3 linked regions of the Saccharomyces cerevisiae S288C genome follow. The main gene of each other region encodes a partner of the protein of the gene in region 2 in a complex. Each region holds a gene or a part of one and is shown on either strand. Other genes may lie near its edges. The genes, in order: CCL1, TFB3 and KIN28. A codon is read from its position in the direction of its gene.

Region 1 (3,610 bases), on a different chromosome or scaffold from region 2:
GTTCTTTTCTGGTCGGTTTCGCTTTTGCTTCATAACACCAGCAATGAAGCATGATCGCGGGAAACTTTCAGAATCTACATCTTCTCCTGGTCAGCTTGAAACTTCAGATTATTCGTAAGGAGAAATTATAATATTATTTCTGTGATAAGAAAAGAGGCATTAAGCTTGGGTATTTGCGACAAAATACTTCAGGATAACCGATGATCGCAAGTGGGTTATTAATTTCTTTCATCCCTTAACCAACCGTCGCTTTCCCCCAGTGACAAGCCTTAAAAAAGTCACACCATGGAACGGAGTATCGTTGATGATTAAACCAATCATTAATCTTTCATAAAAGTTAAGATAAAAGCACTTGTTGATATATATAGGTACATGTGTATCAATACGCCATACATTGTAAATAGAATATTCAATGGATAAACGTGTGTAGCAAAAATAATCACATTGTAGCGCTAGTTAGCAATTTACTCATTGTCACATTTTTTGCAGTATATATTCATGGCATGAAATAATATAAAATGGCGCCGGTCTATATACCTATGCATCTTAATCTATATATATATATAAAACAGAAACCTACGGTAACAGAGCTGTTTCATGTTTTTTGCTTTTTCTCAACGGTGGACGAAGTATCTTCTCCATTCAACTTCCTTTTTAATTTCTGAATCAGTGTTGATGGATTTTGACAATAATAGTTTTTTGCCGCAATTTTCTTGGCCTCTTCAGTACTCGGAGGTTTACAATCTTCAATAATACTTTTACACTCGCGTATTATGGTTAGTAACTTCGCGGAGTCTATCGAATATTCTTCGCTCTCTGTGGACTTCTCTTTGTTTTTCTCAGTTGTACTGGCATCATTTTGTGGTTCTTCTTTTTCGTTTCCCGGTACTGATTCCTGGCTACCTTCTCTGCTGGGAAATTTTGTTTCTAAATACCTTGTGACCAAGGCTTCATCCTCAATCAATAATGTTGCTAGTGTTATTTGGGGTGGAGTGTAGAAATATACGACATCGGTTAATAATGCGGCAGTTATTCTCTTCTTACACCTATCGTATATTTGGCCCATGTAATTTAAATCAACCTTACCATAAAGGACGTTCTGGATATCTAAGAAAAACCCATGAAGCGGTTTGTAAGGATGATGGTTCAACAGTGAAAATTTCAATGATTCTAACAACTTAAACTCGAATTTGAGAACACTATCTCTAGTAGATTTGGCCTTTTGAGCAAACGAGTCCACGCTAATAAAATAGTTCTCCGATTTGCAGGCTAGAAAGATAGTAGTATGTACAATACTTTTAGGATCTATTTGCATAACAGAATTTTCTAAGAAAAAACGCCTAAAAAAGGATATCGCAGTGGCCACTACTTCGGTTGGCAAATTTAGATGCTGTGCTATTACCTGAACTTTTTTTGCGTAGAAATTCACCAAATCGAGTTCTTCTTCCATTGTCAAAGGGATAGCCTTTGCTTCTAGTACTTTTATTTCTTCTTCTGTTAAATTGTGTGCTTCTCTAAATTTTAATAAATTTTCCTCAATGTAAGCAATCGCTCGGGCATTGGTATCTACCCTTTTCTCCTGAAGTTGATCTTTAGTGTATGACCACATTCTATACTGAGAAGAGTGCCTATATAAATCATCGTCAGAAATTCTTTTGTAGTTCGGTGGCTTGTTATTCTCATCAGCCGATTTTAATTTTGCCTCTTTTTCTTTTGCTGACATGGTAGCAGAAGGAGTATCTAATGTACTCTTTCCATTTAGTTGAATATCCGTCATTCTATCAATATCTGTGCAGCACAGTATTTTCCTCTCTTAAACTTAATATTCACTCATTTGTTTGAGATCTTTCTTAATATAAAAACTGTGTTAAGATCAAATTTATTACCCGGATTGTGAACGGCTTAAACAACGAAGGGATACCGCAGGAAATGAGAGGCCCTTTCTTCTCTGGATGGCAAACAGTTCGTGCTATCAAAGTCTGTACCAAGGTTATTTCACTCTTCAAGCCAGCAATAACTACTTTCTTTCAGGTCACCTCTCAGCCGTCACGTCTCTAGCTGAAGCTTTGTTATTCTCGCTTCACTAAAAACAAGTGTATCTACAATATTTACCAGTCTATTCGTATATCCCTTATCATTCTTTTTCAATAAGGGCAAATACTTCGGAAAAAGAAAGGAACATTCATCTTGATTCTAGCCGTAAAGCTATCACGTTCACTCTAAGCAAGCGGAAAGTTGAGCAAAATCAACGAACAATCTGAGTCAGCAAGGCAGTACAAGCATCTCTTCTTTGCCCCTCAAAATTTATTTCCTTTTTGGTATAGTCTTACTTCCAAGTCCAAGCAAGCACTACGTATCACGACAAACCAACAGCCGCGCCGTTTTTATATTCGGAAAGAGAATTCTTGTCGTTATTGAATAATAATAACAAAATTTCTCCACTTTTCACCATATTACCACTCCCTTTTTTTCAAGTAAAAAAAAAAAAAAAAAGAATCTTATTGCTCCTTAAAAAAGGATTCATCAGTCCTTTATGAGAGCCTGCTAGTATCACCTAATATTGCATCTGTTTTTACCGAAATTTCCTCATTCCAATAATGAAAAGAATAAGATCGCTTTGGTTCAATGCGGAGGCTTCTTATTCAAACCTTAACAATTCTCCTAGTTTGAGGAACAAAAATAGTACCGGTAATAACTCTCGCTCTAAAAATTATCGTTCTTTCTCAAGGTTTGACTTGATCAACTCTATACTTTTACTGATGATGCTATTTTTATTAGCTATCTTCGTCACTGCATTATATTTAACAAAGAGTTCCAGGCTTACATACTCACATGCCTCGAGGGCTGCCCTATTTAACCCTCTGGGTGTGATATCGCCGTCATTGGGAAATCATACGTTGAACTACGATCCAGAAGCAAGGGAATCTTCTAAAAAACTTTATGAACTCCTTTCTGATTTCAACACGGCATATTATGATGATGAGAACATGATTTTGGGAAGTAACTTGTTCTCAAAGAATACATACTCGAGACAACCATATGTTGCTAACGGTTATATAGGTAGTCGTATTCCCAATATTGGGTTCGGCTATGCCTTAGACACCCTGAATTTTTACACAGACGCACCAGGCGCTTTGAATAACGGTTGGCCCTTAAGAAATCATAGATTTGCCGGTGCGTTTGTATCGGACTTTTATTGTCTACAACCAAAACTAAATTCAACAAACTTCCCAGAATTGGATGATGTAGGATATTCCACTGTCATTTCATCTATTCCACAATGGACCAATCTACAGTTCTCATTAGTGAATGATTCTAAGTGGTTCAATCCACAAAATGTTACGTTGGATGACGTAACTAATTATAGCCAAAACTTATCAATGAAGGATGGTATCGTAACTACGGAGTTAGATTGGCTAAACAGTCAAATACATGTTAAAAGTGAAATCTGGGCACATCGGCACATTCATCCACTGGGAGTGGTTTCTTTGGAAATTTCCCTGAATACGGACCATTTACCTTCGGATTTTGATTCATTAGATGTTAATATATGGGATATACTTGATTTCAACACATCACATAGGACTGTTCTACATAGCACGGGAACAGA
Region 2 (3,584 bases):
AGCAATAACACATGCTGGGTCCCAGAAGACACCTTTGATAATATAGTTGTCCTTCTTTTCACTGCTGGTCTTTTCTTTTGGAGCGGCGGTAGCGGTAGATGGTTGCATTTCTATTCGATGGCTTTGTACTTATTTTGGTTTTATCCGAGAAACAGTTACAGATCCCTCTCATTAATTCATTTCTGGCGGTTTATATATGAAGACTCTATTTCATTTTTTTACTTGATTTTCAGCAACCACTGAATCTGTATCTTTATCTCTACCATTTTAGGTTTCTTAACTGTTTTTTCTGATTACTGGGTTTCATTTAACATGTAAATTTCCTTTTTGGGTAATTACACACTCGTTTGTAACAAGAACAAAGAATAAAGGTATGGGCCAACCGTAGCAGTAGGTGCCTTTTTTCTGAACACTGAAACAGATCGTGAATGCATGTATATGCGTACATAGAAAATAAAAAGTAGTTGATTACATAGCTTATGCCACGTTGCACACTATCCTGATGTTTTAAAGCTCCTCGGATATAACACATCCTAAGCCCATAAATGCCTCTGTCAACACCCTTTCGTACGCATAATTAGTGTTGAACCCAGACGCAATAAATTCTTTCCTGTGCTCAAGATCTTTGATGAATGGGTCATTGTATACTGAACCTTTCAACGTAAACCTTGGGTGTGCTTCTCTATCACCGTTAAACGGCGTGAACGGTACAGCATCTTTGAGTCTCGAATTCTGTACGTTCACATTTGAATTGAAATATGGATTGTTTTTCAGAACTCTATTTAGTTCTTCCAATTTCCTTCTAGCGGACGATTTTTTCAATTTAACCGTATTTTTAACGCCTTCGATTGTTTCATTGATATCCTGGGTGGTCGTACTCAACCGGTTGACGATTTCTTTCTTTGTCCACTCTTTGTTCATTCTTTCCTCCTCTTCGATTTGTCTTTCCAACAGTCGCTTCTTCAATTTCATCTCCTTTTCGAATTTTTGTCTCTGTTCGAAACTTTCTATCTCTGTTCTGCTTCTCTCCAAGTTATTCATAATCAGTTGCTTGTTTAATTCCTCGTAGGTGCGTAGTTTCTCCTCGGTCTTAGCCACATCGATCCCGTGATCTAGTTTGTATATAATGTCTTCCACCTCTTCCAAATATTTGTTATATTCCACAAGGTCACCATTGAAGTCATCGATAGTTTTGTTGAACACATTGAACACTCTCTTCCTGATGTCAACTTCTTTCTCAACTTCCACATCATCGAATATTTGGGTCTTGAACTTATTCTTTCTAAGAATCTTGTCACACCCTTTATATGGACACTGGGCAGGACCGAGACTAAATATTCGATCAACACACGACTCACAGATCCTGTGATAGCATTCAGGATTCACCAAAAATTTCACATCCGGAGAAAGGTATCGATCTGTCTTACAGATCGGACACATGTCCTTGTTTTCCTCATACTCATCCATAAGCATTTTTCTTTCACTTATATTTACTTGTGTGCGGGGGCCCACTAATGCTGCAAATCCTAAGAGGAAACAAACTCAAATTTTAACAAGCAGTTCAGTTTCTTAGCTGATGATGAGTGCTGTCTTGTGCGTCTGTTCTGTTGTATACTCTCTTTAGTATTAGTGCTTAAGAACAAATTTACGAGCGAACGGCCCGATTTGGACCATTTAGTCGATTTTTTTTTCCACTATTTACGTTTTAAATAATAGTAGCATAAACACAGCACTCAAACAAAACAACTAATTAGGCGTATATCTGCCCGTTGTAATATTTTCAGAACCTAGCTAAGGTCCTTTCATCGCGACACGGCAGAAATTAAACCGTTGTATATGAATGGCTCTATCATGGAATATTCGAATCAGGCGCAGGTCATGGTTTAGATTCATCTTACCGATTATCGTGCTCGGTTTACTGTGCTACGGTACGTGGGCTTACTGCCATAAACTATGTTACGAGCAAGTCGACAAACGACTTCGTCAGAAATCAGTTTCGGTTGGTCTTATTTGTGCGGTATGCTTCCTAGACGTAGTCGTGATTTTCATATGGCTTCAAATAGTTATCTTGGTCGGTCCAGGTACCCAACCGCACGTAGCACCTTTTTTGATCCTTCCTATAGCCTCTGAAGAGAAGACTAGCAACACTTCTCAAAACACTTCAGTGGAATACGATGCTGTGGTTCCGCCTAAGTGTTATCAGTCTGATCCTCACGGATACCCAATATGGTGCAGTGAATGTCAAAGTCTGAAAATGGAACGAACGCATCATTCTTCAGAACTAGGCCACTGCATTCCTCGCTTTGATCATTACTGCATGTGGATAGGGACTGTTATTGGTAGAGACAATTATAGACTCTTTGTGCAGTTTGCTGCTTATTTTTCAACACTTTTACTTATCATGTGGGTGTCTATTTGCGTTTACATAAGAATTATTACTCAACACAATCATAATTATAGCCCCAATTTAAACGCAAATATAATTTCAACGTTAGTGTTTGCCATCCTTGGATGGTTATTAACCGCAAGTTTGTTGGCATCGAGTATTTTTTACATGAGTCAAAACAAGACGTCTTTGGAGGCTATCATAGATAGCAAAAGGAAAAAATTTGGAACAAGGAAGATATTTTGTTATTACTCGGAAGCAAACAAGTTGAGGTTTGTGGTAGAGTTCGATAGATCTGAATTTCACTCTTTCTGGGACAAAAAGTCAATCTTAGCTAATATAAAAGACTTTATGGGTTCTAACATACTTATGTGGATAATTCCTTTAGGCAAGCCCTATACATCTCGATGCAAATCTGATGGCAAAAGCGGTTCAAAAACAACGCTAGTGGAAATATTGGGTCCCTATGAAGAAACTCTTAGTGACTACACCATTCAGGCCATTGAGGACAAGATATCAAGAGGAGAATATCTGGCCACATTGCGGGCTTCTGGTGACGATAGTGATCCTGCTTACTAAATAGTATTAAATTTTTCAAGCAATTTATATTCTGGGACGAAACTCATGTTACAATCGGTATATGTTTCTATTATCTATTCATTTTAATATATTCTGTATGCGTAGGGGAAGGGATAGTATATACATTTTCTTGATCGTCCTTCCATAAATAGTAAGAGATAAGTTTGAAAAAAATAAAAAAGAAGAGAGATTTTAACAGCAAAGAAACGGTAGGATGAACTTTAACGGACATAATAGTAGAAAAGGAAGTTTCCTATCTTCACTAATCGACAATGGATCACAGAAACCTTGATCCGAAAACGCTGAAGGTCAGCCAATTGAGAAGAGTTTTGGTAGAAAATGATGTTGCGTTCCCTGCCAACGCTAGGAAGCCTGTCTTGGTGAAATTGTTTGAGGAGAAAGTGAGGCAACGTCTCCAATCTTCACCTGAGGCCTCAAAGGTTAGAACTAGCATTCAAAAGGTTGTGAAGTCTGGGGCAAAAAACGCAGATCGCAAAAAGACATTAAAGAGTAAAAAGCTTGAATCAAGTTCTAGTGAGAGTAAAACTGTCAAAGATGAAAATGTTGAAACTAACAAGAGGAAAAGGGAACAAATTAGTACGGATAATGAAGCGAAGAT
Region 3 (3,357 bases), 1.1 Mb from region 2:
AATATTCAATAATTTATCCTCCATAGCTAATAAGTCTTTGTGGACGAATTTGTTCTGCGTCCTTAGAGTTATCAAGACGTTTCGCATCTGCATAATGTCTGAACTCCTTATATAGGGGTATTTCTTCCTCCATGGGATATTCTCTTCATTAGTATTTTGTGATACCTGCAGAAATATCGGGTACATTTCATGGTATGTAAGCCTTGTATCTAACTGGAATAAAATTTTGTTAACCGTACGTTTCTTCGGGAAAATCTCTTGAAACTTTTTGGGTACTGGTGGTGTGGAAACAAACTTACTGACAAACCTCTGCATATTTTAGATCAGATATTTCTTGCTTTTGTTTTCGTTTTCGTCTGCTACTGTTTGTCTCCCCTCATATTGTTGTTGTTAAAATCTAAAAACGAATTCCATAATGATGGAAAAGAGTTAAAATTCAACACCAAAAAACAAGACGCATCAAGAAGTTTATTTGTATATGTTGAGGATACATCTAATGTCAATAACACAGATTCTACAAATTTTATAAAATCATATCAGTTACGTATTTTTATTGAAGACGGGTCACTTGGTGGTGGTAATTCTTTGAAATAATCACTTTCTAAACACTGAACAGCGGTCCACCTCTTTTGTGGGTTCATCGTTAGCATTCCACACATAAAATCTAAGGCGTATTCGCTAGCAGCAATGAACCTTTTCCTCAATTCATCTCTTGAAGGGGGCGGATATATTTGTAACTTGTTATACGTCATAAAGGAAGAAACTTCGGGCCAATCTCTATCTGTAGGTGTCCCTAAGGCCCTGAACGTTACTTCCATTTGATCGACATCATTCTGTCCTGGTAAATAAGGTATCCTTAGCATTAATTCCGCGAATATAACGCCTACTGACCAGATATCAATAGCCGATGTGTAATGTTTAGCTCCAAACAACAATTCTGGCGCTCTATACCATCTTGTTACGACGTTACTTGTCAGTATCTCATGTGGGGCCGGTATCGCCCTTGCTAGACCGAAATCTGCTACTTTTATCTGGCCATCAGGTGAAAATAATAAATTGTTTGGTTTCAGATCCCTGTGCAAAATGAAATTTCTGTGGCAATGATACACGCCCCTCAAAGTCATAAGCATCCATGCCTTAATATCTGCTGGTGTAAACAGTATTGATTTGTCTTTTATTACCACCTCTAGATCAGTTGGTAGGAACTCCAGAACGAGATTTAAATTATCATAAGCCATAAATATGTCTATTAGTTCTATGACGTTCGGATGCTGCATTTCTTGGAGGTACTTAACTTCACGGATAGCTGACATATCTAAACCATCTTTAAATTCGGATGTTTTGATCTCCTTAATAGCAATCTTTCTTCCAGTAGAGTGTTGACAACCCAAGTAAACAACCGCATAAGTACCCTCACCAACTTTCTTTTCTGCGATGAATCATCATTAATCAACGTTAGTATCATTATTGAATGTTAAAAGAAAGACGACAATATATAACCCCCACATACCCTTTGTGTACTCCATATTCACTTTCATATGTTCGCTCTGAGGCCGGGAATATTTTTTTTGATGACTTTTAAGTAACTGTGATTTCACTTGTATTTTTTTTCAATGTGTTTTTTGAATCTACTTGTAATATTCTCTGCACAATGCTTCAAATGAAGCTTCACATCATAACACAAAAAAAATTGTAGGTTCATCCAATGGACGAATCTTTCTTAAGGCTTATGCTTGAAGACCATTTCTATATACCAAAAAATTACAAACTGGCAAGATTGATGTCTTATTGAAACTGAAAATCTTTCAAATTAGAGGGTGATTTTCAATTACAATTGACAACTAAGCCGACTTCCCCTGAAACCGCTTCTGAATTCTTACAAATTTCTCTTGGAGGATTTGTTCAAGGTAGTGTGGTATGTTTTTAGCGTATTAACAGCAAGCGTTGTGTCTGCAAACAAAGAGAAAAAATATCAGTACAAAAAATGCTCACCTGACCTTATTCACCCAAAAACATCGGGGAAACGGTAGTAATATGGAAGCTGGCAGGAGTGCTGATGAAGTGCTATACCACAATCAGTCGTCAGTAAAGTTAGGTGAGTTAGAAAGATACGTTATTACATATGAGCTATACCAGGGTGATAGTATTCCCGCTGATATCACACTGGATTCCCTATGGGTAAAGATCAAAAATACCACAAAGCTATCCTATAAACCAGCCTATCTATTGGGCCCATTTATCTTATATTGTGACGTGCGAGCAAAAGATTACGAAAGCTCGTATAAGATCATATGTTCGGCGGATAAACCAGTATTTCAATCAAACCTACAGGCACAACAAAAGTTTATTGCAGAGTTGTCCTTGCACCACATTAAGCCACGCTATGTATGGATAGTGGATATTGTCAGTCAAATACTATTTAATAAAGAAACTAAGGTAACTTTTGAGATAGTAGTCGGCAATTCAAAGGCCTCTTTGAAAAGAAAAATACGATGTAATGATTCATTGCCTGATAAAGCCTGCAATATTTTACACACAGGATTATCGGTGCATAGACTTACCACCGCAGATATATGGAAAGTACCACGACCCATAGACATGTCGCAAAAATCCCATTTAGTCATTCTCACGCATGGTTTTCAATCAAACGTTTCGGCAGATATGGAATACTTAATGGAAGAAATATACAAGGCTCAAATGAACAATCCAAATGAGCGACTAGTTATTAAGGGATATATGAAGAATGCTTGTGAGACTGAGAAGGGTATTAAGTTTTTGGGTGTTGGATTGGCAAACTACATCATCGACGAGTTATATGATGACTCTGTTGGGAAAATTTCATTTATTGGTCATTCCCTGGGTGGATTAACACAAACTTTTGCTATTTGTTACATAAAGACCAAATATCCATATTTCTTTAAGAAAGTGGAGCCAATCAATTTTATCTCACTGGCGTCACCATTGCTAGGCATTGCTACCAGCACGCCCAATTACGTAAAAATGTCATTGTCGATGGGTATCATTGGTACTACGGGGCAAGAACTGGGTCTTAAGGATGGAAATTATGGTGATAAGCCCCTACTTTACCTGCTATCCGAGGAATCCTTAATCAGTGTGCTTGCTCGATTCAAAAGAAGAACACTTTATGCTAATGCCGTCAACGACGGAATAGTTCCCTTGTACTCCTCTTCTTTACTTTTTTTGGACTACTCTCAATTACTTCAGAAACTGGGAGGTCAAACTACGGCACCTTGTGATCCTCTCTTCCAGCCTGAAGTAAGTCCTATTGGGGAACTTCCAAATCATAGCGATGTTGCTAATGATGATGATGGAATCAATGCATCGTCATGGAACACG

Evidence for each region.
Region 1: the proteins of TFB3 (region 2) and CCL1 are in contact, whole or in part, in a cryo-EM structure (PDB 6XI8), measured with the Saccharomyces cerevisiae proteins. Residues at the interface, in NP_010748.3 of Saccharomyces cerevisiae: Phe270 (codon at 666), Leu272 (codon at 660), Lys273 (codon at 657), Val276 (codon at 648), Tyr277 (codon at 645), Asn278 (codon at 642), Asp279 (codon at 639), Pro280 (codon at 636), Phe281 (codon at 633), Ile282 (codon at 630), Tyr302 (codon at 570), Arg304 (codon at 564), Val305 (codon at 561), Leu306 (codon at 558), Glu308 (codon at 552), Ala309 (codon at 549), Phe310 (codon at 546), Met311 (codon at 543), Gly312 (codon at 540), Leu313 (codon at 537), Gly314 (codon at 534), Cys315 (codon at 531), Val316 (codon at 528), Ser318 (codon at 522), Glu319 (codon at 519), Glu320 (codon at 516); in NP_015350.1 of Saccharomyces cerevisiae: Tyr49 (codon at 1,633), Arg50 (codon at 1,630), Tyr55 (codon at 1,615), Ser59 (codon at 1,603), Thr61 (codon at 1,597), Gln64 (codon at 1,588), Lys216 (codon at 1,132), Pro217 (codon at 1,129), His219 (codon at 1,123), Gly220 (codon at 1,120), Phe221 (codon at 1,117), Phe222 (codon at 1,114), Leu223 (codon at 1,111), Asp224 (codon at 1,108), Gln226 (codon at 1,102), Asn227 (codon at 1,099), Tyr230 (codon at 1,090), Met238 (codon at 1,066), Tyr242 (codon at 1,054), Phe260 (codon at 1,000), Tyr261 (codon at 997), Thr262 (codon at 994), Pro264 (codon at 988), Gln265 (codon at 985), Tyr282 (codon at 934), Ile327 (codon at 799), Leu332 (codon at 784), Ile335 (codon at 775).
Region 3: the proteins of TFB3 (region 2) and KIN28 are in contact, whole or in part, in a cryo-EM structure (PDB 6XI8), measured with the Saccharomyces cerevisiae proteins. Residues at the interface, in NP_010748.3 of Saccharomyces cerevisiae: Phe260 (codon at 696), Asn261 (codon at 693), Gly262 (codon at 690), Asp263 (codon at 687), Glu265 (codon at 681), Ala266 (codon at 678), His267 (codon at 675), Ile282 (codon at 630), Leu285 (codon at 621), Lys289 (codon at 609), Glu290 (codon at 606), Phe291 (codon at 603), Ile292 (codon at 600), Ala293 (codon at 597), Ser294 (codon at 594), Gly295 (codon at 591), Phe296 (codon at 588), Asn297 (codon at 585), Tyr300 (codon at 576), Glu303 (codon at 567), Arg304 (codon at 564), Thr307 (codon at 555), Glu308 (codon at 552); in NP_010175.1 of Saccharomyces cerevisiae: Leu111 (codon at 1,127), Arg115 (codon at 1,115), Tyr118 (codon at 1,106), Arg122 (codon at 1,094), Phe124 (codon at 1,088), Ile154 (codon at 998), Pro155 (codon at 995), Ala156 (codon at 992), Pro157 (codon at 989), His158 (codon at 986), Ala179 (codon at 923), His181 (codon at 917), Tyr182 (codon at 914), Thr183 (codon at 911), Ser184 (codon at 908), Trp229 (codon at 773), Glu231 (codon at 767), Ser234 (codon at 758), Phe235 (codon at 755), Pro275 (codon at 635), Gln276 (codon at 632), Val282 (codon at 614), Leu285 (codon at 605), Phe290 (codon at 590), Lys291 (codon at 587).

What each region holds. Positions count from the first base shown.
Region 1 is NC_001148.4:612,782-616,391, forward strand, and holds CCL1 (TFIIH complex kinase subunit CCL1), read right to left. Parts: upstream 1,778-3,610; coding exon 596-1,777; downstream 1-595. Other genes in the region: alpha,alpha-trehalase ATH1, read left to right, coding at 2,598-3,610. UniProt on the Saccharomyces cerevisiae protein: Regulatory component of the TFIIK complex (KIN28-CCL1 dimer) which is the protein kinase component of transcription factor IIH (TFIIH) and phosphorylates the C-terminal domain of RNA polymerase II during transition from transcription to elongation after preinitiation complex (PIC) formation, thereby positively regulating transcription.
Region 2 is NC_001136.10:1,381,700-1,385,283, reverse strand, and holds TFB3 (TFIIH/NER complex subunit TFB3), read right to left. Parts: upstream 1,474-3,584; coding exon 508-1,473; downstream 1-507. Other genes in the region: MFA1 (mating pheromone a), read right to left, coding at 1-108; palmitoyltransferase PFA5, read left to right, coding at 1,841-2,965; HEH2 (Heh2p), read left to right, coding at 3,238-3,584. UniProt on the Saccharomyces cerevisiae protein: Acts as a component of the general transcription and DNA repair factor IIH (TFIIH or factor B), which is essential for both basal and activated transcription, and is involved in nucleotide excision repair (NER) of damaged DNA.
Region 3 is NC_001136.10:265,879-269,235, reverse strand, and holds KIN28 (TFIIH complex serine/threonine-protein kinase subunit KIN28), read right to left. Parts: upstream 1,539-3,357; coding exon 1,511-1,538; intron 1,430-1,510; coding exon 537-1,429; downstream 1-536. Other genes in the region: MSS2 (Mss2p), read right to left, coding at 1-315; YDL109C (putative lipase), read left to right, coding at 2,035-3,357. UniProt on the Saccharomyces cerevisiae protein: Catalytic component of the TFIIK complex (KIN28-CCL1 dimer) which is the protein kinase component of transcription factor IIH (TFIIH) and phosphorylates the C-terminal domain of RNA polymerase II during transition from transcription to elongation after preinitiation complex (PIC) formation, thereby positively regulating transcription.